Mus musculus: one gene and its partners. Each later gene encodes a partner of the first gene's protein in a complex. Links are inferred from orthologs where the notes say so. Each region holds a gene or a part of one and is shown in the gene's direction. Other genes may lie near its edges. The genes, in order: Gnb1, Adgrd1, Grk2, Ffar2, Trpm3, Calcrl and Ptgdr2.

Region 1 (3,500 bases):
AGTCTATCATGAAAGGAAATCAGCAAAGACCGCAGAGGAATACCGCTTACTAGCTTTCTCTTTAGGGCTTACTTAGCCTGCCATCCAGGACTACATGCCCAAAGACGACACTGCCCACAGTAAACTGGCCATGCTCACATCAATTATTAATCAAGGACATACCCATAGGTTTACCTATGTGCCAATAAGATGGAGATATTTTCTCAGCTGAGGCTCCTTCTTCCTTAGAGGACTCTAGCTTCTGTCCTATCCCACCCCACCCCCAATATAAATAAAAACAGGGCAGGTGTTTAAAATGGATTAAAATGGTTCCTGAGTGGGTAGTGTTTCAAGCTTTTCCCATAATATTCAAGCTTTCTTGCTGTCAGTATGAACAAAACTGTGTCCTAAATATTTGACATGTCTCATGTCTCTGTGTATCTAATTTAACTTGGAATAAAAAAGAAACCCGTCAGAAGCAGGTCAGATCAGTACCATCTCTCGGGTGATAAGAGAAGAGCTGGGGAGTCTGGTCATCCAGGTGTCCCCAGGGCTGAGTTGTTATCTGACACTCATGGTATTCCATTGCTCGAGCATTGAGATCCTCTTTCTTATTATTAAGTGTATTATATTTTAAGCGAATGTAGCTTTAAAGCTCTAGTTGGTCACCAAGATTTTTTGTTTCTGTTTTTTCTTTTCCTTTATCTTTTCTCCAGGCTCCTTGTCAGCGCCTCTCAGGATGGAAAACTCATCATCTGGGACAGTTATACCACAAACAAGGTGGGCAGTGCAAGACCCTCCCTGGAACAGTGACAGTCTGTTGATGGAGCAATGATGACCTCGGAGGGCGATAGAAGAGCTTGTGTTGCTGACCCATTAAGCTTGGCATACAGTTGTGCTGTGGTTCCTGTCTTGGCATGTAGATAGGAGCTGAGTGCTTCCTTGTCCTTGCACAAGAGCTACACTCCACTCCTAGTTTTGACTGGAAACTTTCCTAATTTATTACTAGAATACTGAAATGCAGATTCCATTTAGTTAGTAGTTTGTTTTGTAGTAACAAGAGATAATCTAAGATGCACTATACTTTTTAATGTTTAGTGGAGGATTGGGAATGTAGCTCAGTGGTAGAATACTTGTCTACTGGGCATAATTCCCTGGATTTGATTCCCAGAACCACAAAAGATAAAAAACCAATGTAACCCAACAGATTGGTAAAAGTCTGTGATTCTAGTAACTCAGGAGGCTAAGGTAGGATGATCGAATAAACCCAGAGGGCAAACCTGCCATGGCTAGATAGGGGAAAGGAGAAGACAGAGATACTAGGTAGAATGTTTGCCTCATAGGTACAAATCTCTGAATTAAATTTCCACTTCTCTTATATTGAAATAAATTACACTGGGTATGGTGGTACATGCTCATAATCTATCATTTGAGAATGTAAGCAAGAGCCTCAAGCATTAAAGATTATGCTTACCCACATAATAAAGTGAAACCAGCCTGAACTACATGAGACCTTGTCTCTAAAAAATAGTATTCACAAAAAACCAAACAAACGGGGCTGGCGGGATGGCTCAGTGGTTAAGAGCGCCGACTGCTCTTCTGAAGGTTCTGAGTTCAAATCCCAGCAACCATATGGTGGCTCACAACCATCCGTAATGAAATCTGATGGCCTCTTCTGGAGTATCTGAGGATAGCTACAGTGTACTTACATATAAATAAAAAAAAAAAATTAAAAAAAAATTTAAAAAAACAAACAAACAAACAAAAAAGAATACATTTAAATTCTGAGTGGTTGCAGTGGCCAGTCTATAATTCTAGCATTTGGAAGACAGAGACAAGGAATCCACAAAGCAATCTGGTTATCTAGACCTACAGACGAGCTCTAGACAGTCCTGAGGAACACTGTCTCACAGAAGAAGGTGGAGAGCAGTCAGGGGAGGGCCCGTGTCAGCCTCAGCCTCCGTGTGCACAAGCACACATGCGCATAAAGTACGGGGAGCCGAGCCAGGCGTGGTGATACACGACTTTAATCTCAGAAGTTGGGAGGCAGAGGCAGGTAGATCTCTGTGAGTTAGGGGGCCACCCTGTCTATAAAGTGAGTTCCAAGACAGCCAGAGCTCTAGAAACCCTGCCTGCAAAAACGAACGAAAAGGTGCAGGGCTGGAAAGATCGCTCAGTCACTGCCTGATTTTTCCAGAACGTCTTGAGTTTTATCCCCAGCGTCTGCGTAGTGGTTTGCAGCCTTCTGTGTGTCAGTTAAAGGGGAACCCAGAGCCCTCCCTCCTTTAGCTTTCCAGGCTCTGTACTCAGTTAATCAACAGTTAATCAAATGTTCCTACAGATAACATGAAATTAAATCTCAAGACAAGTTTTAATGCTGTCATCAATTAAGGAAAAAAAATTGGACAGTTGTATTTTCCCTCAAAATTAGTAAATACATGCCAAGATTACAGAATGTTAACTGCTCTATCTAAACAGCAAGACTAACTGTGTTACCAGTGTGCAGTTAGGTTATTGCATGTGAGTGTCAGAGAGAATGAATATGAATGAGTTCTGCCTCAGCTTCTTTATTGCTGGGATCGGCATGAATCACCATGCCTGGCTGTTTTTTATGTGCTTGTCTTTGTTTTTTTTTAAGCTCATAGCCATGATAAATTAAAGGGGAAAGTAAATCTTTTCAAATCCTATTAACATCACTCCTTAAATCATTAAAATGCAAATATAATTTGTGTTTTCTTTGAGATAGTTTTCCATTATGTATAGCTCAAAATATCCTCAAACTTGCCATCGGGGCTGGTGATATACACCCTACTGGACAAGACTTTTGAGTTCAAGTCTCAGAACCAAAAAAGACAGACACGACAAAAAGCCCTCTTTTTCTTTCTCTTAGCTTTCCAACTCCTAGATTCACTGACGTATGCCATCACACCTATCTACTCATTAGGGTTTTTTGGTTTGGTTTGGTTTGGTTTGGTTTGGTTTGGTTTGGTTTGGTTTGGTTTGGTTTGGTTTTGTTTTGTTTTGTTTGTTTTTGAGACAGTTTTACTATGGAGCCCTGGCTGGCCTCAAATTCAGAGATTCACCTACCTTTGCCTCCTGAGTGCTGGGGCTACAACATAAACTATACACCCAGCTGTAGTCATATTTTCTTGAACTTAATAGTGTTTCCTGTCTGTATTCTTGTTATTTAGGTTCATGCCATCCCTCTGCGCTCCTCTTGGGTCATGACCTGCGCATACGCTCCTTCTGGGAATTATGTGGCCTGTGGTGGCCTGGATAACATCTGCTCCATTTACAACCTGAAAACTCGTGAAGGGAATGTGCGTGTGAGTCGTGAGCTGGCGGGACACACAGGTACACATCTCATGTTCCAGTGGTGTAAGCTGCTAACTGGGATGTATACTGCTCTTGTGATCTGTTGATTATTGGTTCAAGTAAAAGTGAAAGTAACGGCCAGAAATTTTCTGAAAGTGAAGCCAAACCAGGGCCAATATGCCTTCATCTTTAAGAAACATGGAAAC
Region 2 (3,500 bases), on another chromosome or scaffold:
GGCAGTTCCCACCAGGACTCCAGGGACTAGACTCTGTCCTTTAGCCAGGAAGGTAGCTCCTTGTTGTGATTGGCAGCTTAGTCAATCTATCAACCTTGAGGAGTCTCCTGGCTTTTGATGAAAAAGTCCTGAATTTTATTCATTGTGAAGGACTTGTGCACCTCATTTCCCTGGTAAGCCAGGTGGCTGATGGGAGACAGAGAGACTCCTGGGTCCTGGTAGGAAGTATCTGAGGCCCAGATTCCTTATCGGACTCTCCCATGGGGTGACCTGAGCTGCAGAAGGCCTAGTCTCGATGTCTAATTAACTCCGTGAGGGGGTCATGGCATCTCCATCCTTCCACAGTAGCTGGGATGTTCATGCCCACCTGTACCTGCATTGTGTATCCATTTCCATAGGACACAGAATGCTGACAGCCTGGGCTCAGCCCCAGTAAGGCTCCTGCCTGTGGTCAGCAAATGATTGAGATGAGGGATACTCGCCAACCTCGAGCCGCCCAGCGAACCATGGTGGCTCTCAAGGCCTGGCTGTATCTAGGCTCTGTCCAGGGCCAGAGAGTGCATGAGGGGGAAGCTCAGCCTCCGTCAGAGCTGGGACACCATCCGGTAGAGCCAAAAACCCAGCCTTAACAGAACAGGGCCAGGTACCAGATGCTGAGGCATGGATGAGAACATCAAGCCCAGGCTGCTGGGCTCCAGTGGGATGCATAGTCTGTTACATATGTCTTGTATTGCATGGAAGATGGTCTGTCACAACAGATGTCAGTCCAGGTGACCACATAGGTGCCCACTTAAGAGATGGTCCCAAGGGCTGGTGTGTGCCTGCCAGTGAAGGCAAGTATATAGTGACTGTCAATTTGGGGGTTAGTGATACTGAGGACAAGAGACCTGGAAGTGATCCTCTCACCCAGCATGCTGTGTGTAGTTTTCCTAGCCTTATGTCTGTGCATCCACTGGTACCCACCTCAAGCCCCTCACTGTTGCTCTCTGAATTTCATAGCCAGAGGAGGCACATATCTCTGATCATCCTAGATCACCCATTCAGACATGGCTGGGAGTATGGTGGTAATACAGGCCAGGTAGCTTAAGTGGGGAACACAGCGGATACAACGGAGCAACCCAGAGCACGGGAAATGCCAACCCTGAATTCCAGTGTGGTGTAGCCCTCTTTCTGTGAGGCAAGTCTTGGAGGTTGGCATTACAAGGTCAGCACTGTGGGTGTAACCACTTTGGCACCATCCCAGCCAGGGGATGGGATGGATGGAAGGCCAGCCTCCCACATCTCCTTCTGTTCCCGCAGCTCACACATGGACACCAGGTGGCGCTGTCGTCCATCAGTTACGTTGGCTGCTCTCTGTCAGTTCTCTGCCTGGCTGCCACCCTGGTCACCTTCGCAGTACTGTCGTGAGTCACCCTCTCCTTGTGTCCCCAGGAAGTCTAGAAAGTTACTGGAAATATAAGTGTTTCCTGTCACTCTGGCCATTCCTCTGTCTGGCTCTGAAGACCCTTTGGGGGGGCGGGGGCATGCGTCCTAGCTAGTAGGGGTACAGATGTGACTATGTGACTGTTCTCCGGTGACTTTCACTTTCATATCTGAGGTGCAGAAAAAATGGAAATAGCAGGGCCTGTAGGGTAGGGTCAGCAGGTTTTAGACATGTCAGAAAGGTCTGGAAAGTCCCACCTTGGCACTTGAGTTCCGGTGGGATCTGAGCCAGGCGAGAGCTAGCACATACATCCTTGACTGCACCCTCATCAGCAAGCAATGGTGCTTGGTTTTGAGGCCAAGTTATGCATAAATGCCTTTGGATGGGGCCCATCAATAACCAAGAAAGCCAAAGAATAAATAAATGCCTTCTCGAGCAGTCTGCCACGCACAAGGAGACAGTGCAGAGGTGAGCATCTTAGGGTGGGAGGCCAGAAAGCCCTCCCTATTGGTAGTCATCCAGGCCTCCAGGAAGAGCCCTGCCAGGAATGACCATAAAAGAATGGCGGGTCCTGTAGCCACCCTCCTGTATCCAAGAGGCGCCCTCCCTTCCTGCTGCCCTCAATTTCGATGATGCCCATGACGTCATGGGGTGTATTTTCTGCAGGTTCTAATTTAGAATTTCAATTAGTTCCCTCCATCTCCCCCACCCCATCCCTCACAGTGGAAAGGGTGAAACAGAAGAGGGCCCAGGGAGGTTAGAGGAGCCACTGAACTTCCGGGAAGGGCTCAGGCTGTGCAGAGTGGCTGGAACTATGAAAGGAAGTAGGAGGCTAGCCCAGAACAACCAGGGTCCAAGCAGGGAGCTATGGCATGGGCAGGGGTAGGAGCTATGAAGATACTCATGGTTTCTCAAAGAGAAGTAGAGAGGGGACCCGAGTGGGGGTAGGATGTCGAGGCTGAGCTCCGGGACTTACACCCGCCTCTCTGTCTTCAGTTCTGTCAGCACCATTCGGAACCAGCGTTACCACATCCACGCCAACCTGTCCTTCGCTGTCCTGGTAGCCCAGGTCTTGCTGCTGATCAGCTTCAGCATGGAGCCTGGCACGGTGAGTGGGTGCTGACCCTCGGCCGGCAGCTGTCTCTTCTTGAGTCACGGCAGTGGCAGTGGCAGTGGGCATGGCTGGGGAGTAGCAGTGGGCATGTGGGGAGTGGCAGCAACACGGGCTGTAGAACTCTGGCCTGAGAAACTGAGCCTTGCCTCCCCAGGAATAAAATGAGGTCCTGGGAATAAATAAGAGTAAGCAAAGCCTCAGCACGGCCCCCCCATGTACCCCGTGGTCTCACCCTGCACCTTTGCTTGGCTACCAGGTCCCGTGCCAGGTGCTGGCTGTCCTCCTACATTACTTCTTCCTGACCGCCTTTGCTTGGATGCTGGTGGAGGGACTACATCTCTACAGCATGGTGATAAAGGTCTTCGGCTCAGAGGACAGCAAGCACCTCTACTACTATGGGATAGGCTGGGGTATGTAGTAGGGGAGGGGCAGAGGGCAAGGATAGGCTGGGGTGTGTGGCAGGGGTGGGGCAGATGGCAGGGGTGGGACCTATTAATATAGGTTGGGAGGGATGAGGTGGGCCGGGTAGGGATGGGGCAGATGGAATGGAATGGGTTCTGGTGGCAGAGAGGCAGAGCAGGTGACTGTGGGGCAGGGTTTGGTAGAGACGGGATGGGTTTAGATGGAGATGGGGTGGGTTTAGCTAGAGATGGGTTGGGTTTAGGTGGAGATGGTATGGGATGGGGGGGGGATCAGGTGTGGAGGGACATTGCTGGAGATGGGATTGGTCAGCGTGACTCATGGTGTATCAATATACCATTGTCTTGGAAAGAGTCTGTGTTTTGCTGTTGGACAGCGTGTTCAAACCCTGTCAGGCTTAGCTAGTTCAAGGTGACATTCGAGTTCTCCATTCTGACCTAGGTCTTTCCTCTGTTTGCTCTGCTCATTTTTTTTTTGAAGTGAGATGTTGACGTCACTTGGCCCGTTCCTGTTTCTGCTCCCTCTCTGCCTTCCTTTGACTTA
Region 3 (4,172 bases), on another chromosome or scaffold:
GGCCTTGAATGTACAGTAATCCCATCAGATCTAGATTTGGGGACAGCCATTCTGGTCAGAGCCTGTATCAGAGGGCAGTTTTAGGAACCCTGAGAAATGGACAGGTCAGAGGACTCTCAGGAGGCTGTAGTGGTGACCTAGGAAAGGAGAAGTAGAGGCAGGATCTGTCTAGAGATGTCGTCCGCTGACAACCTTTCTCCCCTAATAGGATTTGTTTTCTTCTGAAGGAGTCAAGAAGTCAGGGGAGTCGGGATACTTGCTTTGCTGGACACGAACTGGCAGGAGAATCAGGTTCTAAGTGTCCATGCCTGGGGTGGGAGTGTCCTGGCAGCCTGGAAAGCAAAGAGGTGCTCTAGAGAGGTGTGCAGTTTAAATTGCTTTCACTCATTTGCTTAAGACGGGGTCTCACTCTATAGCCCTGGTTGGCTTTGACTTTACAGAAAGACACCTGCTTTTGCCTCTCGTGTGCTAGCCAGGTAAAGTAGACAGGAGTTGGCCAAGGAAGAAGGCACAGAAGGGCTCAGTGGGTAAAATGTTTGCCACCAAGCCTGAGGACCTTGAGTTCCATCCCTAGAGACCCATGTGGTAAAAAGAGAGAACTGATGGTCAAATTGTCTGTCCTCTAACCTCCACATGTGCATACACAATCAATCAACTGATCAGTCAATCGATCGATCAATTAATGAGTTCGGCGTTCATCAGAGTGTGGTTTAATGGACTATGCCTTTAATCCATTTCAGCACTTGGGAGGCAGAGGAAAGCAGATCGCTGTGAATTAGTGGTCTGCCTGGTCTACATAGTGAGTTACAGACTAGCCAAGGCTACACGGGGATACCCTCTCTAAAACAAGAACAACAACAAACGTTCATGTCAGGAGTGCGGCCCAAGCTCTGAGTCTGGGGTCCTGTTGGGAGTTTGAAGTCAGGATTGTCATCTGGTCAGGTCAGGAGTCAGGGGTGGTAATGATGGTGTGACTCTGAGAGAATGTTCAGAAATTTGAGTATAGGAGTCTTGGTCGGTGTCAGGATTCTTGTTAGGACCCACGGTCTTGGCCCTAGTGGAGCGTGCAGTCTAGCATGCTGAGATGGGATCCGCGTTTGTGGTCATGGCTTGGGGTCTGAGGTCATCCTAGAGTCCTTGGTGGAAGACTCAGGTAACAAACCAGGACTGAGACCCGTGTCTCGGACCCGAGCGGTGCAGCCTCTAGGGGGCGCTGTCGCCTGCCCGCCCGCCCGCCGCCCGCCCGGCTCGGCCCCTCGGCGGCTCGCTGGCGCTGTGCGCGGCAGGCGGGGCCGGAGGCGGCGGCGGCAGCTCCGGGGCGCGGGCGAGCGGGTGGTGGTGGTGGTGGCGGCGGCGGCGGCGCCCCGACTGCAGTCCCGGCGGGAGCGGAGCGCGAGCCGGGCCGGGCCCGAGCCGGCGCCATGGGGCGGCGCCGCCTGTGAGCCGGCGACGAGCGAGGACCGGGCGGGGCGGCGGCGGCGCCGAGGCCCACAAGCCGCGCGGGCCGGGCCGGGCCGAGCGAGCGGGAGCGGAGCGGAGCCTCGGGCGGCGGGAGGAACAGCGCCGCCGCCGCCGCCAAGATGGCCGACCTGGAGGCGGTGCTGGCCGATGTGAGCTACCTGATGGCCATGGAGAAGAGCAAGGCCACGCCGGCCGCGCGCGCCAGCAAGAAGATCCTGCTGCCAGAGCCCAGGTGAGCCCGCCTGTGCCGGGCCCCACGCGCCGCCCCGGGATCCCGTGCCCTAGGGACCCCCTCCGCCCCAGGTTCCGGGGACCTTCTGCCCCAGGACCCGGGAACCCCTTCTACTCCGGGGACCTTCTGCCCCGGAGACCCCATTATTCTGGCCGCCCCAGGACCCGGAGACTTCCTCTGTCCCTGCCGCCGCAAGGCTTGGTGTCCGCAAGCCCTGGGCGCCCCAAGTCCAAGCTCCTAGCCCTGGGCCGCCCTGCCGCTTCCTGTATCTCACTGCCCGGCCTGGTCGCTGTCAGCCCCTGACTCTGCTGCAGCCTTCTTTCCACCCTGATGCTTGGCTCTGCCCTCTACCCTCTCGTGTTCCCTTGTGGTTCCCTTCCTCAAGTCTGCCTCTGTTTACCCGATTGTATCACACAGTCTGTTGCTCCCGTTGGTATTCCACTACCCTATCCACTCCCCGTGGAGTGGGTAACACTCTTGTGAGGTTTGTGGAGTGAAGAGGACCAATTTGAAGACTTTTATTTATTTATTTATTTATTTATTTATTTTGCCTTCCCCTATGGTGGGGTCACTATGGGATTGGGTTTGAGAGTGCTTTCTGGGGACAGTGCAGTGTACCATTCCTGAGGGCTGCGCTCCGGTGGGTGAGGGAAGTCCCTACTTTACCCTTTTCCCCACTTGTGGTTCCTTATGGGTACTTTTGACCAGGGGACCTCCCATCCTACAGCAGATGGACCATGCTGCCACCTCTCTACAAGACAACTGATGTCATCGCACCTGGTATCAAAGTTTAAACTGTCCAGGATGTGGGTGCAGAACAGGGCAGGATGTGAGAGGTGTAGCTGGGGCTTGTCCAGTATATTATGGTAAATAGACTTATCTTCCTATTTGAGCTGCACAGGAGACCAGAGAGCGAGTGAGACAGGTGTAGTTTTGTTCCCATAGAACAAGGTGTGTGTGTGTGAGAGGGGAAACAACTCAGACTGGAATGGCTTGTGCAGTGTCACCTGGCCTCCACATCAGGGCTCTCAGCTTCGAGTTTTATGTTTTGTCCTGACCTGAAGGGTGGCCTGGACGTCTGTCCTGCATCTGGAAGAGGAGATGTGTCCACCCACCAGGATGCCTCCTGGTGGGTGGTGAGGCCAGTCCCAGTAGCCTCCCATGCCAACTCCTTTAACAGCCAAGAGTTGGCCTTGATTTTACTGTCATTCTCTGTGGTAGAACATGCTCTACCCCCAGTGGGCAGTGTGAAATAGGCCTCTGGTGTCCTCTGTCCTTAGAGCCAGGTGGGCAGGTTGCGGGCTTGCTGCTGTGCCTGTCACCGTGCCCCCTCCTCCAGTGGCTGCACACTGGGTTTCAGTTTGACTGAGAACCAAGCCCTGTAGAGGAAAAATTGGTCTGTGTTTTGAAGAGGCCGTTGGGCCCCCCTTTTTTCTAAGACATTTGCAATCAGATTTCTCAAAACAGGAACTAGACTGAGTGTCAGCTGGGGCTGTCTAGGGGCAGCAGCAGTTAGGATGAAAATGAGTTCAGAAATGACAAAACTTAAAGGGAAGAGTGGGGGAGGGGCAGTCCGCATCTTGGGCTTGTAGTGCTCTCCTGGGCGGCCACAGCCATGGGGTTCTTCTGCAGGTGGAGGTCTGCAAAGTTTAAGGTGGTGCCTTTTCTAGAACTCTCTGTGTCTGGACAATCTTTCCCCAGAATGCATTGCTCCTAATAGACCCTACCTCCGGTCGTCTCCTTGCTGGTGTTCAAGAACCCTGAAAAACGAGCTGTACCTCTTTCTTTTTACCTTTTCATATGGTGGCAGTTGTGATGTGATGTGATTGAATAAGAATGGAAAGTTTAATAATTCATTATTTATTTTGACATCTGTCATCTCAGTTGATCCAAAAACCAACATGTGAAGTTGGCAAGGCCAACAGTACCAGGATGGGGTAATAGCTGTGAACAAAATTGCAGCAGGCTGTGAGTTTTAGGAAGCGATACCACAGGTGCAGGGTCACCATCAGTAGGATGTTGTTGGGCCAACTGCTCAGTCTGTGAATGGTTAGGAGCCTCTAACTCTGCCCACTGGTATGCTCAGACAGTCACCCTGCAGTGCTGTGGCCCTAGGCATGCAAGCCTCTCATGATGGAAGGCAGGTTCCCTACGTGGTGACGCGCTCTGCACACTATTGAGGCAGGTATCTCTCACCCTTGAAGGTAGTTGTGATCGTGTCTCATGTGTGCCCAATATATCCCAATCTGTGAAGTGTCTTGTCTTCACAACTCTGGGACGCTGGCTGACCCAGCAGGTGGTATTTCTTCATTTACTAACCGAGCTTTGAGGCTTGTCACACAGAAGATCTGGGATTGGGTCACAGGTCCTTGGAGTCCCAACCACAGTCTCTTCCTGTCAGTGCTTTGTCTCTTTCCCCCACTCCCATATAATTGGTTTGTGGGATGGGATGGCTGAAACCACTTGTCGTGGGAGCTGT
Region 4 (4,268 bases), on another chromosome or scaffold:
CTGGCTAGTATAAGTAGGTTACTAGGGGAAGGCCTTTGGAAGTTTTAAACAACCCACTCTGGTCTGAGGACAGTGAGGGGCTGGGGGCGTGGCTCAGTGGTAGAGCCCCTGCCTAGAATTCCCCCGTGAGGGGGCTGGGGCATGGCTAGAATTCAAATGACTCTAGAACCCATCTCTAATACTAGAAAAAGAAAGACAAAAGGGAGGGACAGAGGGAGAAAGGAAGAATGGGGAAGGAGTGGAGAAGGCAACATGTTCTTGCCCTTGTTTTCTCACGTATATGTTTTGGGGGATTTTTCTTTAATATATATAAGTGTTTTGTCTGCATACAGCATGTATGATCAGTGTAAATGGAGGTCAGAAGAGACCGTCCAATTTCCTGAAACTAGACATTGTGAGCCGCCATGCCGTGTGGATGCTGGGAACTGAACTCAGGTCCTCTGCAAGAGCAACCAATGCTCCTAACCACTGAGACATCTCTCCAGCCCTGTGGAGGCCTTGGGAAGACTGGCTAACTCGTAGGTAACTAAACAGGTCAGAGGAGAGGACATAGAGAAACCAAGGGGTGGGAGAGAAGAGGAGGAGGAAGGGGAGGATGCAGAGCGTGCAGCTCTTCTGAGAGCAGCCACAGGGGACCCCTTACAGAGAGTGAACCTCCCTGCCTGTCATCTGTAGCCTAGCTGGCCTTAGCCTGTAGAGTAGTTAGGATTCAGGCCTATGTATGGCCCCACTCCTAACTTTCACCTTCTAGGAAGGTGTCAGAGGCTTGAGGGAAGCACCAGGGGCCCTGACCCTGATGCCTCATGCCTCCAGCCTCACTGGATGGCCCTGGATGTGCAGTGCAGTTAGGATTCCCATGCTCGCTTGCAGAAGGAAAGGAAAGTTCATAAAATCTGATCTGACCCAAAGTTCCCAGTGCAGAGACTTGGATGGCAGCCCGCAGCAGGCCAACTGTGCACCAAAAAACAAGACACAAGCTAGGGAAAGCCAGTCTGTCTCAACAAGGCCGAAGGAAACTTGGGGTGGACACCAGGAGACCACAAAGAAGTTAGACAAGGGAGGAATCACAGGAAACGGGAAGCCTCGTTCTGAGAATGACATTGACCTTCTAGACATTGCTCTGAAGAAGCCAATCAGAAGACAGAAAAGGAGCTGACAGGGGTAGGGGGTGAGGGTGGGAGCGGGTGGAGAGGCAGGTGGGAGGATAGGAGGGGGGCAGTGTCTCAGGGTTTGGGGGCAGGGAGACAGGAAGTAGGGTCAGAAAAATCTGTCAAAATCGGAATAGAACAGATCTCCAGGGAGAGGACAGAGCCGCAGCACCCCCCCGCCCCCCACCCCCACCCCCCCTTTGGGTTTGAGAGGAAATACTGCTCAGTTACTGACCTGCCTCTTTCTCTCTGGTCATGTGACCCATGCTAGTATAAGATCTTCCCACCAACCAAGTTCCTTATGATTTTTGGCTCCCCCTCCTTTTTCTGTATGAAATTGGCTGCAATAATTGCTAAAACTCCTCTTGCACCAGGAACCCCCAAGAAACATTCTCTCTGAAACCAGGCAAGGCAAGCCAGTGTGGTGTGTGCACGCAGGGGAGAGGATCTGAGGAGCAGCTGTGGGGTGAGGAGGAGGCTGCAGGATGTCTGTCAGAACACAGACCCGGAGGCTGAGGGTGGAGGTGGGTGTAAGGAACCATAGACCTTGAAATGAAAAGGACCGGGAGAGAGTGACTATTCGTTTGTAGCAAGAGTTACTAACCAAGTGGAAACAAAGTCACCTCCTGTAGAGGAGGAGTCCTGGATACAGTCAAAGCACCAAGCTTAAGCCAGCCACCTGTGCTCTCTGGGCTGTGTATCTAAAATTTGGAGGTTGGGGGGGACAAGCCATAGAGCAAGGAACTGGCTACCCTAGCTCCCCGGTTTTGGTAGGTTCCACAGCACTGGACCAGAGGAGAACCAGGTAGAAGAAACCCCTGAACTTGCCCAAGGAGGTAAGCTGACAGGTTGGGAGGCTGGGGAGGTGGCAGGGGGTGGGCACCTGAAGCTGAGGAGAGCGAGGGTTAGCAGGGTTGGTTTGCCTTCTGGAAGTTTCCTTTTTCTCCCGAGACACACACCTACCTGATCTTTCCCAGCTTCTATGGCTGCCTTCCCCTCTCTCCCACCAGGCTTTAGCCCCCAGCCACAGTCAGCAGCAAGAAAGGGAACCGATCACAGCTACTTCCTATTACCTGTGAGGCTACAGAGGAAAGGGGCCCTAGAAAGCAGAGGGGAAATTCCCGTGGGAAGTCAACTTGGTCTCCCCCAGAGACACAGGATGGCAAACGTAATAACTGCAGCTTAATATCCCGCCCAAGGCTAAGTCAATAATTGCTCTGGGCAGTTCTGGCAGGTGGCTTGAGCAAGCGGTGGTGAAGAGCAGACAGCTTTGGACTGAGGACAGGAGAGAACCAGAGAGGATGTGAGCAGTCAGAACTCTCCGGAAAGAGGGTCTGCAGGCTGTGTGCACTGCAGGTGGGGAGCTCTTGACCCTACACCTTTCCCCCCATCTTCCAGAATGACCCCAGACTGGCACAGTTCCTTGATCCTCACGGCCTACATCCTCATCTTTCTTACTGGGCTCCCTGCCAACCTGCTGGCCCTGCGGGCCTTCATGGGCCGGGTTCGCCAGCCTCAGCCTGCCCCTGTGCACATCCTCCTGCTTAATCTGACCCTGGCGGACTTGCTCCTGTTGCTGCTGCTGCCCTTCCGGATCGTGGAAGCAGCATCCAACTTCCGCTGGTACCTACCAAAGATCGTGTGCGCGCTGACAGGCTTCGGCTTCTACAGCAGCATCTACTGCAGCACGTGGCTGCTGGCGGGCATCAGCATGGAACGCTACCTGGGAGTGGCCTTCCCGGTGCAGTACAAGTTATCCCGCCGGCCACTGTATGGAGTGATCGCTGCTCTGGTGGCCTGGATCATGTCCTTTGGCCACTGCACCATCGTCATCATCGTTCAGTACCTGAACTCAACTGAGCAGGTGGGCACTGAGAACCAAATAACCTGCTACGAGAACTTCACCCAAGAGCAGCTGGATGTGGTACTGCCCGTACGACTGGAGCTGTGCCTGGTCCTGTTTTTCGTTCCCATGGCAGTCACCATCTTCTGTTATTGGCGCTTCGTGTGGATCATGCTCACGCAGCCCCACGTTGGGGCTCAGAGGCGACGCCGGGCAGTGGGCCTGGCTGTTGTGACGCTTCTTAATTTCCTGGTGTGCTTTGGACCCTACAACATGTCCCACCTGGTGGGGTTCTACCTGAGGCAGAGCCCCTCGTGGCGGGTGGAGGCTGTGGTGTTCAGTTCCCTCAATGCCAGCCTGGATCCATTATTGTTCTACTTCTCCTCCTCCGTGGTGCGCAGAGCTTTTGGGAAAGGTTTGCTACTGATCCGCAATCCTGCCTCCTCTATGCTGGGCAGGGGAGCCAAAGAGACAGTGGAGGGGACCAAGATGGACAGGGGTGGAAGTCAAGCAGAAGGGGTACAGAGTTCTGAATTTGTCACCGAGTAGAGAGTCCCCCGGATCTTCCCGAGCATTTGGGTCACCCAGAAGTTGGTCTGGTTAGCAGAGCTCCTGAGACTTGGTAAAAGATAAAAGATTAAGAAAGAAAGAAAGAAAGAAAGAAAGAAAGAAAGAAAGAAAGAAAGAAAGAAAGAAAGAAAGAAAGACACCTCCACCCATCTGCCACTGCCCTCTCAGCTCAGCAGAACCACTTGACTGAATTTTCCTGCCCAGAGAAGCATAGCTCCAGGATACAAGAAGGAATGGCTACACCCTTACACTGTATTTTCACAGTGGGGTCAGGGGCTCAGAAGCAAGGTGACTAATAGGGGTGCAGTAATAAAAGTAATTTTTTTCCTCGAGCTTGGAAATGCCACCTAGAGACAGTGATCTGGCTGGTGATGCTGGAAAGAAGCCAATGGAAAAGATGGGGGGAGATGGGGGGAAGAAGAGGAATGCCGGGAAAGCTCTAAGCCACAGCCTTGAGGCAGGGGCTGAGGGCGGGCAACACACAGGGCTCCCATCTCTGGTGATCTTGGCCTTTCTATATCCGATTGAGCTGTCCTTTGTACATGTGCTCCGCTGATTTTCATATTTTGGTCTTGTCTCCACTGTTATGCCGGGATCTGGGTCACATGCTTATCCTCTGTGTCACCAGTCACTGGGTCTAGGAGATGTCTTGGTACCCGTCTGTCTGACATTGACAATGACCTGAAAGGAAGGATTAAAAAGAAAAT
Region 5 (3,500 bases), on another chromosome or scaffold:
CAGTAGCAGCAGGAACGCCACTCTCTCCCCTTCAGCCTCTCCCTTTACCCATAGTCGAGCACAGCTTTGACATCTGCTAGCCTGATCCTCCAACTCCCCCAGCAGAGGAACCCACCCAAGTGACTCTTACTCTTTGCTTCTCATACAGGGTGGAGAACATGTCCATGAGGCTGGAGGAAGTTAATGAGAGAGAACATTCCATGAAGGCTTCACTCCAGACCGTGGACATCCGGCTAGCACAGCTAGAGGACCTCATCGGGCGCATGGCCACCGCCCTGGAGCGCCTGACTGGTCTGGAGCGGGCAGAGTCTAACAAAATCCGCTCAAGGACCTCCTCAGACTGCACAGATGCAGCCTACATCGTCCGCCAGAGCAGCTTCAACAGCCAGGAAGGGAACACCTTCAAACTTCAAGAGAGTATAGACCCTGCAGGTGAGGAGACCATATCCCCAACTTCTCCAACCTTAATGCCCCGTATGCGAAGCCATTCTTTCTATTCAGTCAATGTGAAAGACAAAGGTGGGATAGAAAAGTTGGAAAGCATTTTCAAAGAAAGGTCCCTGAGCTTACACCGAGCTACTAGCTCCCACTCAGTAGCCAAAGAACCCAAAGCTCCTGCAGCCCCTGCAAACACCTTGGCCATTGTTCCTGACTCCAGAAGACCATCATCTTGCATAGACATCTATGTCTCTGCCATGGACGAGCTCCACTGTGATATAGAGCCTCTGGATAATTCCATGAACATCCTTGGGCTGGGTGAGCCAAGCTTTTCAGCTCTAGCACCTTCCACAACCCCGTCAAGTAGTGCCTATGCAACGCTCGCACCTACAGACCGACCTCCCAGTAGGAGCATTGATTTTGAAGACCTCACCTCCATGGACACTAGATCTTTTTCTTCAGACTATACACACCTCCCAGAATGCCAAAACCCCTGGGACACAGACCCTCCAACGTACCATACCATCGAGCGTTCCAAGAGTAGCCGCTACCTAGCCACCACGCCCTTTCTTCTGGAAGAGGCTCCCATTGTAAAATCCCATAGCTTTATGTTTTCTCCTTCAAGGAGCTACTACGCCAACTTTGGGGTGCCCGTGAAAACGGCAGAATACACAAGTATTACAGACTGTATCGACACAAGATGTGTCAATGCCCCCCAAGCAATAGCTGACCGAGCCACCTTCCCTGGAGGTCTCGGAGACAAAGTGGAAGATTTATCTTGTTGCCACCCTGAGCGAGAAGCAGAGCTGAGCCATCCTAGCTCTGACAGTGAGGAAAATGAGGCCAGAGGCCAGAGAGCTGCCAATCCGATATCCTCTCAGGAGGCTGAAAATGCAGACAGAACCCTATCCAACAACATCACAGTTCCCAAGATAGAGCGCGCCAACAGCTACTCAGCAGAGGAGCCAAACGTGCCATATGCACATACCAGAAAGAGCTTCTCCATCAGTGACAAGCTTGATAGACAGAGGAACACGGCGAGCCTCCGAAATCCCTTCCAGAGAAGTAAGTCCTCCAAGCCGGAGGGCCGAGGGGACAGCCTATCCATGAGGAGACTGTCTAGAACATCGGCCTTTCATAGCTTTGAAAGCAAGCACAACTAAACCGGCTTACCGTGTGTTGCAGGAGGCTCGAGAATCCAGCGCTAAAATTCTCCCCAATGCCCACCACCACGTTCCCCCTTCCTTGAGTTAGACCTGCTTTATTCTTAGCTGAGCAAAACAATGGGAGACATTAACTCAAAGGTAACCTCTGGGCCACAGGTCAAGCAAGCATTCCATCTGGTCCAGTGCAAAACACAGGGGTCAAAGCATGTTCCTATCTGTTGGGCAGGGAGGGGTAAAGACAACAGACAGGGGCTAGAGATGAATGGGTGTCACCAGGCACCAGAGAAAGTCATGAGCTCTGGGAGCCAATGGGCTTCAGCACTCTCCATGCCAACAGGCATCATGGGATTTCGGCCCTGTTATCAAGAGTCGAGGGCTAAATTGCAAAATGAAATAAGAGTAGGCAGCGTACAAGATGAGATATTCTAAACTTCCATTCTGTTTTCTTTTCACATTGGTTCCATCACTGGTGACTGATGAAGAACATCCTTTTTATTCAGTATAAGCCGGCAGCAAGCAGTTCTACCTAACGTCCCACATCCTTCTCATGCCAACACCTCTGTAATTGGTCATTATAAAGAAAACCAAGGTAACAGTCATATATACAGTTCACCTGTCTCTTATCTATTCACCTCTGGTGCCACAACTGTTTATCTCTTTAGAAGAAAATAAGGGAACAGAAAAAAAATGCCTTTTTTTTTGTCTTGCGATCAAAATGAAAGAAGAATTGATGTTGAAAGCAAAAGTCATATGATTTATAATATACCACGGGCAATCAAATATAGTCAAGGAAGCTCAGGATGAATGTACTCAGATACTTTTATATTTGTAAGTTATTTTGTATCTCACCTGTCATCAAAGAATTCACTCGTCAAATGTGTAATATTGAACTTTAAGGAAAAGGTGGGAAGATCTAACATTAAGTTGCCAGTGGGATGTTGTCACAGTCTCACCGTTCATAGTGTGTGACGCTGCTGTGTGGGCCTTCATCATCTGCATGTCTCCACTATGTCCTCCAGACACCTCCAAGATGTAACTGCCAAATTTCCATACCGCTCATCATGTGACCATTTTGTATTTGAACACATGGTTATATGTGGATATTTTCATACCTAGAGTTTTAGCCATCTAATCTGGGCTCAGCATAAATTTAATCAGAGTTTTTCAAGGGCTGGTATCTTTTTTATGGAAATGTTCCAAAGTACTTTTTAAGGAAGTTTAAAAACCATAAATAACCTTAGATTTGAGTAGGGGCTTGATAGCAACCCAAACCCATCAGTTGCAGGTAGGCCATGAATATGTTTCTTATTTACAAAGCTATAAAAAAGATACAGTAGGGCTAAAATAGAAAGCAATTTTACCATATACAGAATTCTATAGTTTATGCTGCTTACATATACATCCACATACAGACTCATGTTTATATACAGTATGTATACAGACAGAGATTTCTTAAAAGGCTTTGACTTTCTGTCATCTGACGGTATAACTAAGATTATTTTTTAGTGTCCAAGAAGTTTCTCTGGAAAAAGTTTATTGTGCTATTGGACCCACTGTTGAAATTATAATTTTCAAAAGAAAAAATATCTCTGGTCTTCTTCACCTGTCTTTTCACTGAACAAGAACTGTCCAAATGGTCTCCTCCCTCCCCCTCCCCCCCTCCCTCCCCCTCCCCCCCCCCCCCCAATCTCCTTCTATTTGGAAGCATCCATTGTCATGAAATCCCTTTTACTCTGGTTGTTCTGACACAAAGCTATTACCACCAAATACACTCTGAATAGATGAGTGCTTCTAAGCCAGTTTGTATTACACCATCTAGGATGGAGGCATATGTTTCTAGAATAGAACCTGGACTTGAAGTGGGATAAAGAAATCTTGACCACAAATCTTTGGATT
Region 6 (3,500 bases), on another chromosome or scaffold:
ATGGACTTTACACAAATATTTTGAACAGAAAGTTAATTATATACTCTTAATATCTGAGGATGTTAAGAGTATATGAATTACTAGATTTCTTTTTATTCTTAGATTCCTTTGGGTGCAGGCACAAAATATTAGATGGCAGATTGGGAAAATCTATTCAAACAACAAACATCTAGGCAAACATATATTACACCACAGGGATGGGGCAAATATATTATGACCTAAAACTGGCCAGCCTCTACTCAGGCTGTACACAGTTATCAGATCTGTTAGTATAAAGATGATGGCATCTAAGACTCAGCTGACTATTTTCATTTGTGTTTAAGGACTCAGCATGAAGGAAGTCTTTCTAGAGTCCTAATTCAATCAAAATAGAAGTCAGTGTATCTGACACAATTATTCATAATCTTTAATTTCAGTCAGGAAAAAAGGCATTAAACTTCACATTTGTTTTAAGAAAGAAAGCTATGGGCTAGAGGAATTTTAATCCAGCAAAATGACTGCTCTGGCAAGAAACCACATATCCAAAGACCTTCTGGGTCTCTGTGATCTGGCTGGAATGCAAACAAGCCTTTAGTAAATGCCTTTAATCCCAAACAATACAGGTAAGATTAGTTTACAGAAGGAAGCAGTCATGTTTGAAAGAAACATCTAATTGAGGGATAGACAAAGTGATGAACCAGAGAAAGATTTAAAAGACTGATTCAAAGATAGGACATGCCCAACTCTCATGAGAACAACATAGGGAAGAGAATTTAGGGCATCATAAATACGAAGTGAACAACCTACTAAGGAGCTAATTCTCATTCTCTCTCTTTCTCTCCTTTACCTTTTATTTTTATACAAGATATAAGTAAGATACTTAGGTAGGTCTGAGCTTACTTAATACTAGCATGCAGGCAGGTGTTGATCTTGCAGTATTCCTCCTTCAGTTTCATGTGTAACTAAAATTATAGACCAGGACCAGTTTGGTCTTCTTCCTTTAAAGAGCAAAAGCTTTTCTGCCAAACATTTTGTTATGCATCAAATAGAGTATTTTCAGCTCAACTAATGGGTTGTTTTTGCTGTTTCTGTTTATTGTTGATCAATAGGTTCAAGCAATTCTGAGAAGAAATTGGAACCAGTATAAAATCCAATTTGGAAATGGCTTTTCCCACTCTGATGCTCTCCGCAGTGCATCCTACACAGTGTCAACAATCAGTGACATGCAAGGGTACAGCCATGACTGCCCCACTGAACACTTAAATGGAAAAAGCATCCAGGATATTGAAAATGTTGCCTTAAAATCAGAAAATATGTATGATCTAGTGATGTGAAAATATATAAAATCACACACTTGAACCTATGATTTTATAGCCAAAAGATTGGATAGCCAGCAAATGGATTTCTGGAATACCATGAAGAAAGCCCTCAAATGAAATGGGAATTGTATGGATAAATGTTTAACAACCCTCTCTCTATGGGGGAGAAAAGCCTCAATTTATATTGTTGGCCAGTAACTACTCCTACCATAACTGATTTCAAGTTACCAACCTGACATCACTGAATGTGTAATTGGAAAGAAAATAAGCACAAACAACTCCCAGGAGCTGACATGTTCTGGAACCTGCACAGCACTGCATGCCCTCAGAGATGGAAGTCTGTGCACACTCTCACCCACACTGACCAGAACTCTGCTCTTCTCATCTGAGGAGACCTCACTCGGACTTACAGACATGAAAGGAAAGTTTGGTTTTTGTTATAAAACTCCTCATCCTTTTGTCATTTGGTGATAGTGAATGGTTTGTCCAGAAACACTTTAACCCTCTTTATAACTTCTCTTGTAGACTAGACAAAGAGTTCATTATCTCTGTGGTCTCATGTTACTTTCTTTAAGAAAAGCAACTGAGCAGAATTCCCATGGGCTTCTTAGTTGCTGCTACATATTGTTGTATCCTGTGGTATATGCACTCTGAATCACTAGGGAGACATATTGGTAGAAGCTACACCTTGTCAGCTCTCTCTCTCTCTCTCTCTCTCTCTCTCTCTCTCTCTCTCGGCAAGAATAGGAGGAAATCAGTTTTCTGGAATCTGTAAATAGAAACTTTGGCCTTTCCATTTCTACTGTGTAGATAAGTAAGTGATCAACCATTTTACATGAAGGGAATCAATGAAGGATTTCTTTTTATCTTGGGAATCTGAGAGAGAGAGAGAGAGAGAGAGAGAGAGAAAGAGAGAGAGAGAGAGAGAGAGAGAGAGAGAGGTTGTACAAATGAAACTGTAAGTACTCTGTAATTTTATTTTATTGTTTCAATTCAAAACACAACCTAGGTAACTTTTAAAGCAGATAGATGATGCAACATTATATGCAACTTAGTATCTGATACTGTGTCTGGGCTGATTTATTTTATAGTAAAATAGAATCATGAATTCTATACTTGGTAAATATTTTAAGGACAAACAGATACCAGCATCAGAAGTTTGAGAACTAAAAACAAACCCCAGAAATATCAATGATAAGATATGAAATATTTATTTAAAAATGTAAAGCCATAATTTTACAAGCATGATATATTTGGTGTGCTGACATACTGCTTCCAATATGACATATTCCAATTTGATGACAACTCATTCAAATTCAGAAATTATGAACAACTACTGTAAGAAGTGCTAGTCTGCTACATTTGTGGGCTTTAATTCACTAAATTATAGCTTTACTGATTTTTACTAAATGAAGATACATGCTTTTGAAAAAGACCCAGGTTATTATTTTTTTATGAACCACAGAGGAATTTTCTCTATGTAATAACACTGTTTCAGTATTTCAGTAGACTACTGTGGATGATAATACAAGCCACGGGAAGACTTGAACTTACCACTCATTGAGGATGAAGTGTCAGATATTTAAGTAATAATTAAATTAAGACAGAAGAAGATTTTGCTTGTGAGTTTAAGTGACATTTTAAATGGATTTAGTTTTTCCAATATTGCTTGGTTTGGAGTTTCTGAAGAACAAGATTGACTTCAGTTAGTAAAAGTCACTCTGGGGACAGTTACATGAGTCCATGTTTTTTAAAGTGTGTCTGTCAGTTTACAGTGGATGAGAGGAGTGACTCAGCCCTCACTCATTGTCTTAAGCTATAGAAGAGAATAAATTAAAAAGTTGTTTGAAACTGTCAAGGAAAAGAATTCAAATTATCAAGCACTGATGTATTACATGATCTGACAGACATATTTGTAATTTTCTTTTTTTTTTTTCTTTCTTTTTTTTTTATATTTGTAATTTTCTGAACTTTCAGCTGCTTAAACCGTACAAACCTTCCTTTTAATACCTTCAGACTTTAGGTATTGATTATTCATATCTTCGCTGACAGTGTTCGTGTAATTCTGCATTCTTCTAAACAAACTGTCAAGTATTAACAATAAATGGTAGTACAGAATGCCGAATTACCAGAGAACATACTTAAAAGGTATTGTAATTTTAAGTTTTATTATTTTTTTACTATACCGAGTGTAGCTGAGAT
Region 7 (4,055 bases), on another chromosome or scaffold:
TTTATATTTATATAAATATATAGCATATTACACACATGAGCACAGGCATACATATATATGGTGGAGTGATGGCTCAGTGGTTAAGGGCATTGATTGGTCTTCCAGATGATTAGGATTCAATTTCCAGCACTCACATCACAGTTCACAATTGCTGGTAACTCCAGCTCCAGTGGGTCCTATGCCCTCTTCTGGCCTCCATGGGCACTGCACACACATTGTGCACAGACACACATGCAGGCAAGATGCCTGCACGCAGCATAAAATATAGTAAATAAATCTGGAAAAAAAAAGATAAGGTGGAGGATGACGAGGAAGACACGTGATGTTGATCTCTGGTCGCCATACACAAACACATGTGTACTACAGTGCATGCACGCACACACATATATTGCACATACACACATGCACCACAAGGTGGCTGACCCCTGAAGAACAACAGCTGAGGTGTCCTCTGGCCTCCACATGCATGCTCATCTGCACCTGCATGTCTGCACCTATGAGTGCATACACACATGTATGCACCTATGTGTGCATACACACTCACACAAGTCAAGACAATAAGAAAATGTAAACCTTTTGTTGTTGTTTTTTCACGACAGGGTTTCTCTGTGTAACAGTCCTTGCTGTCCTGTAACTTATTTTGCAGACCAGGCTGGCCTTGAATTCACAGAGGTCCACCTGCCTCTGCTTCCCTAGTGCTGGGATTAAAGATGTGCAGCGCCATGCCTGGCTAAAATGCAAACTTCTAAGACTCGACCTTCTCCTCCCCTGGACTTGGGCTCTATTTCCCTTATTGTGAAGCAGCTACCTGCTTTGCCCACTTTTCTGTGGATGGGAAAGAAGCTGTCTTTGTGAACACCTACTACGTGCCAGATGCTCCCCTGACCTGCCTCAATTCATCCTTCCCACTTGCTATGAGAAGACCTGTTTCCTGGTCACCGGTGCAGCACACAGGAGAAATGACTGACCTCCTGACCAAGGGTCTCTGTGCTCTTCCCACGGCCCCTACGTTTCCTCTAGTTCTCTGGGGACAGGGGCCCATGCTGCCTCAGAAGAGCTGGAGTGCTTCTCCTTGGAGAATCGTGGTGTCTGGGGATTGGCAGTAAAGGACTTAAAACACTGTCCTCTGGGTTCCAGAGGCTCCTCCACGAAGAGGAGCTTCCAGGGGCTGGTGGCCTGGATGGAGATGAAAGACTTTGAACATAGTGTCCCCGCCCCTACTCTTGGGGCTGACAGCTATTTCCTCCTTCAGCTCACTCTCCTCCTGCCACTCGCCTGGTGCTCAGTCCTGCTGCTTTCAGAAGCTGCCAGCCTTCACGACTCAACCCTGTGCTCACTGTGTTCACTGTGTGGCTCGGTAAGGAGGCAGCCTTCCAGGGGCTGGGCAGCCTTGGTGCACTCTCAGGATTAGAGAGAGGGCTACTCCTAGCTGGAGTGATAAGGGGCTGGATGAGCTTAAGAGCCTGGTGGGGCCTGATGCGCAGAAGGAAGGATTGTGCTTTCCTGGGTGTTATCTAGATGGTAGACACAATGTGTGAGCTGTCTGATCATGGCCACCATGCTATCTCAGGAGAGGGGACAGGATCACTTGGTGAGCTTAGAGAAACTGACAAGTTCACCCAGCTGGAAGTTGAGTTCATGCTCAGGGTGTTGAAAAGCTGGGGTTCCCAGTAGAACAGGATCCTAGCTGCTTGGGTGCCCCAAGATCCCGGGTCTTGAAACTGTCTTCAGACAGCCTGAGGGATCAGAATGGGTGGTTCTGAAGAGTGCAGGAGCGCTGTCTTCTGAGCATCCCATGACACTGACAGTGCAGCTTGAAGGGATGTCTCACAGCAGAAAGAGAATAGCTCACATCTGTCTGCTGGGATCCTGGAAAACCTCAGTCTCCCTCCACAGCACTGTCCCAGCTTCTCTGCCCTTCTGAACCTCAATTTTCTCTTCTAAAAAGCTACCTTTCATTGGATTAATGTGAGTAGGACTGCTCTGCAGACGCTAAAGCTTAAAAAGTAGGATCAGTAAGAATTCATAGAGCTCAAAGATGTCAGATGTGCCTGCTCCCTTTGACCTAGCTCCAATAGGTATTCTGTCAGGGATCTTCTAGGTTGGGGTCCCAGAGCTCCACCCTAGGAAGATCAGTGGCTTCTGGAAGGGTGTAGATTTTTCCATTCTGGCCAATAGAATTTGAAAGAGGAGTTCTGTTAGAAAGAGGGGTTCTGAGGTCTCTGGCAAGCTCCTATTTCCTGCTCTTCTCCATTTCTCTCTCTCTCTCTCTCTCTCTCTCTCTCTCTCTCTCTCTCTCTCTCTCTCTCTCTCTTTCTCTCTGTCTCTCTCTCTGTCTCTGTCTCTCTCTCTCTCTCTCTTTCTTTCTTTTTTTGGTGTTTTTGAGACAGGGTTTCTTTGTGTAGCCCTGGCTGTCCTGGAACTCACTCTGTAGACCAGGCTGGCCTCGAACTCAGAAATCCGCTTGCCTCTGTCTCCTACATGCTGGGATTAAAGGCATGCGCCACCACTGCTCAGTTCCTTCTCTTCTTCTATCATCCCACTTTCAAAGCTAGATAGACAGTAGCCTGAGGACTGAACAATCCCTCTTCCACATGTCTGTGTTGCGTGGCTCAACAAGCACTTTAGACTCTTGTGTCTCAGTTTTTTCAACTGTACAATGAATGGGATGGAGAGAGTCTTGGCACATTTCTTCCAGAGTCACAAGAAATAACATCTATTACAGGATCTACCACAGTACCTGGAGGGTTGTGGGTGCCTGGCACACCCTGCTTTCATTTCCTCTCTGCGGCAGAGTATACAATGTGATTCCCTTAGCCCTCCCTGGTCCCAGCTTCGTTACCGGGTCCTGGGGTTCTCCATGAGGCTGAGAACCTGGCTTGTCCAGAGCTCCTTAGTTGTTGCTTAATGTGCCTATTGGCCCAGTGTGTGGGTGAGTAAATGGGTATGGGTTTCCTGGGAAAGGTAGGACTGTCACTGCCTTCCCCAGATTCCTGTGTGATAGTTCCTCCAGCCAGGTCTCACGCTTGTCCTCTTATCTTATCTCCTCTCCTTCTATCAGAGGAAGGGCCAGCTCCCCTGGTCTCAACCAATCAGCACACCCGATCAGTCACTGAGGCTGACAACTGCTCTCTAGGAGGAACTGCAGAGAGGTAAGGCCTGTGGGGCTGGGTGGTACAAACCTCCCGTCTCATTGGAGGGGCTACCTTTCTGTGTTTTGGAGACTGGGAAAATAGGTCCTGCATGGCCTGACCTTTGTGATCTTGGACAAGTGCTTAATAGTAATCAAAATGGAATTGATACAGTGCCTGCTTTATGTCAGTTCTCTTGTGCATGTATGTGTATGTATGTGTGTGTATGTGTGTGTAAGCCAAAAATCAACCTTAAAAGCAGTCACCTTAAAAAATGACTTATTTTTATTATTTTAAATTGTGTATGTGTGTATGTACACATGAATGCAGGCTTATGTATGTGTGTGTATACATCAGATATCAACCTTGAGTCATGTTGCTTAGGATCTGTCCACATTAAAAAGATTTTATTGTAAAGTGTGTGTGTATGTGTGTTTGTGGGTACGGATGCGAATGCAGGTGTCTGCAGAAGCCAGAGGGGTTGGATCCACTGGAACTGAATTATATAGGCAGTTGTGAGCTGCCCCATATGGGTAGTGGAAGTCAAACACTGGTCTCCTGAAAAGCAGTATATGCTTTGCTGTGGAGCCATCCCTCTGGTCCCCTACCTTGTCTTTTTACGTTAAGGTCTCTGGGACCTGTTTCACTGAGTAGTTTAGGTTGGGTGGCCGGTGGGCCCTCAGGATCCACCTGTCTTTCTCCAGCACTGAGATTACAAGCACGTGTACCATACCCTACTTTATCCCTGGGTTCTGGGGTCAAACTCAGCTCCTCACGCTTGCATAGCACACACTTATATTTTCTCTAGCAAGCACTTACATTTCCCCCCTCTACCCATGCCCTTTTTAAATTGTTCTCGTTTTGTTCCAGTAGCCCTACAAACTAGAGACTGTTAGGCTCAGGAAGACTACACTTGGCTTGCCC

The links.
Region 2: the proteins of Gnb1 (region 1) and Adgrd1 are in contact, whole or in part, in a cryo-EM structure (PDB 7EPT), measured with the Homo sapiens proteins. The link is inferred for Mus musculus from reciprocal best matches to the Homo sapiens genes GNB1 and ADGRD1. Residues at the interface, in NP_001269468.1 of Homo sapiens: Arg52, Asp291, Val307, Ala309, Gly310, His311, Asp312, Asp333, Phe335; in NP_942122.2 of Homo sapiens: Ser593, Val594, Ser595, Arg598, His819, Lys822, Val823, Leu826.
Region 3: the proteins of Gnb1 (region 1) and Grk2 are in contact, whole or in part, in a crystal structure (PDB 5UKL), measured with the Homo sapiens proteins. The link is inferred for Mus musculus from reciprocal best matches to the Homo sapiens genes GNB1 and GRK2. Residues at the interface, in NP_001269468.1 of Homo sapiens: Leu55, Ala56, Lys57, Tyr59, Ala60, Gln75, Asp76, Gly77, Lys78, Pro94, Leu95, Arg96, Ser97, Ser98, Trp99, Val100, Met101, Leu117, Tyr145, Ser147, Asp186, Met188, Cys204, Asp228, Asn230, Asp246, Ile270, Cys271, Asp290, Phe292; in NP_001610.2 of Homo sapiens: Tyr553, Gly556, Lys557, Asp558, Phe584, Pro585, Asn586, Arg587, Glu589, Pro597, Gln598, Leu600, Thr602, Glu604, Ala654, Leu657, Val658, Val661, Pro662, Lys663, Met664, Lys665, Asn666, Lys667, Arg669, Pro671.
Region 4: the proteins of Gnb1 (region 1) and Ffar2 are in contact, whole or in part, in a cryo-EM structure (PDB 9CM7), measured with the Homo sapiens proteins. The link is inferred for Mus musculus from reciprocal best matches to the Homo sapiens genes GNB1 and FFAR2. Residues at the interface, in NP_001269468.1 of Homo sapiens: Arg52, His54, Leu55, Asp312, Ser334, Phe335; in NP_001357016.1 of Homo sapiens: Arg37, Gln38, Pro39, Gln40.
Region 5: the proteins of Gnb1 (region 1) and Trpm3 are in contact, whole or in part, in a crystal structure (PDB 6RMV), measured with the Mus musculus proteins. Residues at the interface, in NP_001153488.1 of Mus musculus: Lys57, Tyr59, Trp99 (codon at 3,198), Val100 (codon at 3,201), Met101 (codon at 3,204), Leu117 (codon at 3,252), Tyr145, Gly162, Asp186, Met188, Cys204, Asp228, Asn230, Asp246, Arg314, Trp332; in NP_001349418.1 of Mus musculus: Lys615, Arg616, Lys618, Ala619, Lys621, Leu622, Leu623, Gly624, Met625.
Region 6: the proteins of Gnb1 (region 1) and Calcrl are in contact, whole or in part, in a cryo-EM structure (PDB 6UVA), measured with the Homo sapiens proteins. The link is inferred for Mus musculus from reciprocal best matches to the Homo sapiens genes GNB1 and CALCRL. Residues at the interface, in NP_001269468.1 of Homo sapiens: Arg52, Phe292, Ala309, His311, Asp312; in NP_001258680.1 of Homo sapiens: Lys167, Ser168, Ile394, Arg397, Asn398, Gln401.
Region 7: the proteins of Gnb1 (region 1) and Ptgdr2 are in contact, whole or in part, in a cryo-EM structure (PDB 8XXV), measured with the Homo sapiens proteins. The link is inferred for Mus musculus from reciprocal best matches to the Homo sapiens genes GNB1 and PTGDR2. Residues at the interface, in NP_001269468.1 of Homo sapiens: Thr50, Arg52, His54, Leu55, Gly310, His311, Asp312, Ser334, Phe335, Lys337; in NP_004769.2 of Homo sapiens: Cys59, Arg60, Arg62, Lys314, Arg317.

What each region holds. Positions count from the first base shown.
Region 1 is NC_000070.6:155,539,861-155,543,360, forward strand, and holds part of Gnb1 (guanine nucleotide-binding protein G(I)/G(S)/G(T) subunit beta-1), read left to right. Parts: intron 1-695; coding exon 696-759; intron 760-3,170; coding exon 3,171-3,333; intron 3,334-3,500. UniProt on the Homo sapiens protein: Guanine nucleotide-binding proteins (G proteins) are involved as a modulator or transducer in various transmembrane signaling systems.
Region 2 is NC_000071.6:129,176,750-129,180,249, forward strand, and holds part of Adgrd1 (adhesion G-protein coupled receptor D1 isoform 2 precursor), read left to right. Parts: intron 1-1,299; coding exon 1,300-1,403; intron 1,404-2,419; coding exon 2,420-2,531; intron 2,532-2,793; coding exon 2,794-2,947; intron 2,948-3,500. UniProt on the Homo sapiens protein: Adhesion G-protein coupled receptor (aGPCR) for androgen hormone 5alpha-dihydrotestosterone (5alpha-DHT), also named 17beta-hydroxy-5alpha-androstan-3-one, the most potent hormone among androgens. Also activated by methenolone drug.
Region 3 is NC_000085.6:4,303,423-4,307,594, reverse strand, and holds the start of Grk2 (beta-adrenergic receptor kinase 1), read left to right. Parts: upstream 1-1,372; 5' UTR 1,373-1,580; coding exon 1,581-1,693; intron 1,694-2,401; exon of another isoform or gene 2,402-2,473; intron 2,474-4,172. UniProt on the Homo sapiens protein: Specifically phosphorylates the agonist-occupied form of the beta-adrenergic and closely related receptors, probably inducing a desensitization of them. Key regulator of LPAR1 signaling.
Region 4 is NC_000073.6:30,818,393-30,822,660, reverse strand, and holds the start of Ffar2 (free fatty acid receptor 2), read left to right. Parts: upstream 1-1,468; 5' UTR 1,469-1,554; exon of another isoform or gene 1,555-1,672; intron 1,673-1,683; exon of another isoform or gene 1,684-1,922; 5' UTR 1,923-1,984; intron 1,985-2,111; exon of another isoform or gene 2,112-2,240; intron 2,241-2,373; exon of another isoform or gene 2,374-2,546; 5' UTR 2,547-2,547; coding exon 2,548-3,540; 3' UTR 3,541-4,268. UniProt on the Homo sapiens protein: G protein-coupled receptor that is activated by a major product of dietary fiber digestion, the short chain fatty acids (SCFAs), and that plays a role in the regulation of whole-body energy homeostasis and in intestinal immunity.
Region 5 is NC_000085.6:22,986,708-22,990,207, forward strand, and holds part of Trpm3 (transient receptor potential cation channel subfamily M member 3), read left to right. Parts: intron 1-148; coding exon 149-1,601; 3' UTR 1,602-2,086; coding exon of another isoform or gene 2,087-2,109; 3' UTR 2,110-3,500. UniProt on the Homo sapiens protein: Constitutively active, non-selective divalent cation-conducting channel that is permeable to Ca(2+), Mn(2+), and Mg(2+), with a high permeability for Ca(2+).
Region 6 is NC_000068.7:84,331,267-84,334,766, reverse strand, and holds part of Calcrl (calcitonin gene-related peptide type 1 receptor precursor), read left to right. Parts: intron 1-1,088; coding exon 1,089-1,313; 3' UTR 1,314-3,500. UniProt on the Homo sapiens protein: G protein-coupled receptor which specificity is determined by its interaction with receptor-activity-modifying proteins (RAMPs). Together with RAMP1, form the receptor complex for calcitonin-gene-related peptides CALCA/CGRP1 and CALCB/CGRP2.
Region 7 is NC_000085.6:10,935,905-10,939,959, forward strand, and holds the start of Ptgdr2 (prostaglandin D2 receptor 2), read left to right. Parts: upstream 1-1,255; 5' UTR 1,256-1,357; intron 1,358-1,817; exon of another isoform or gene 1,818-1,968; intron 1,969-2,505; exon of another isoform or gene 2,506-2,932; intron 2,933-3,061; 5' UTR 3,062-3,152; intron 3,153-4,055.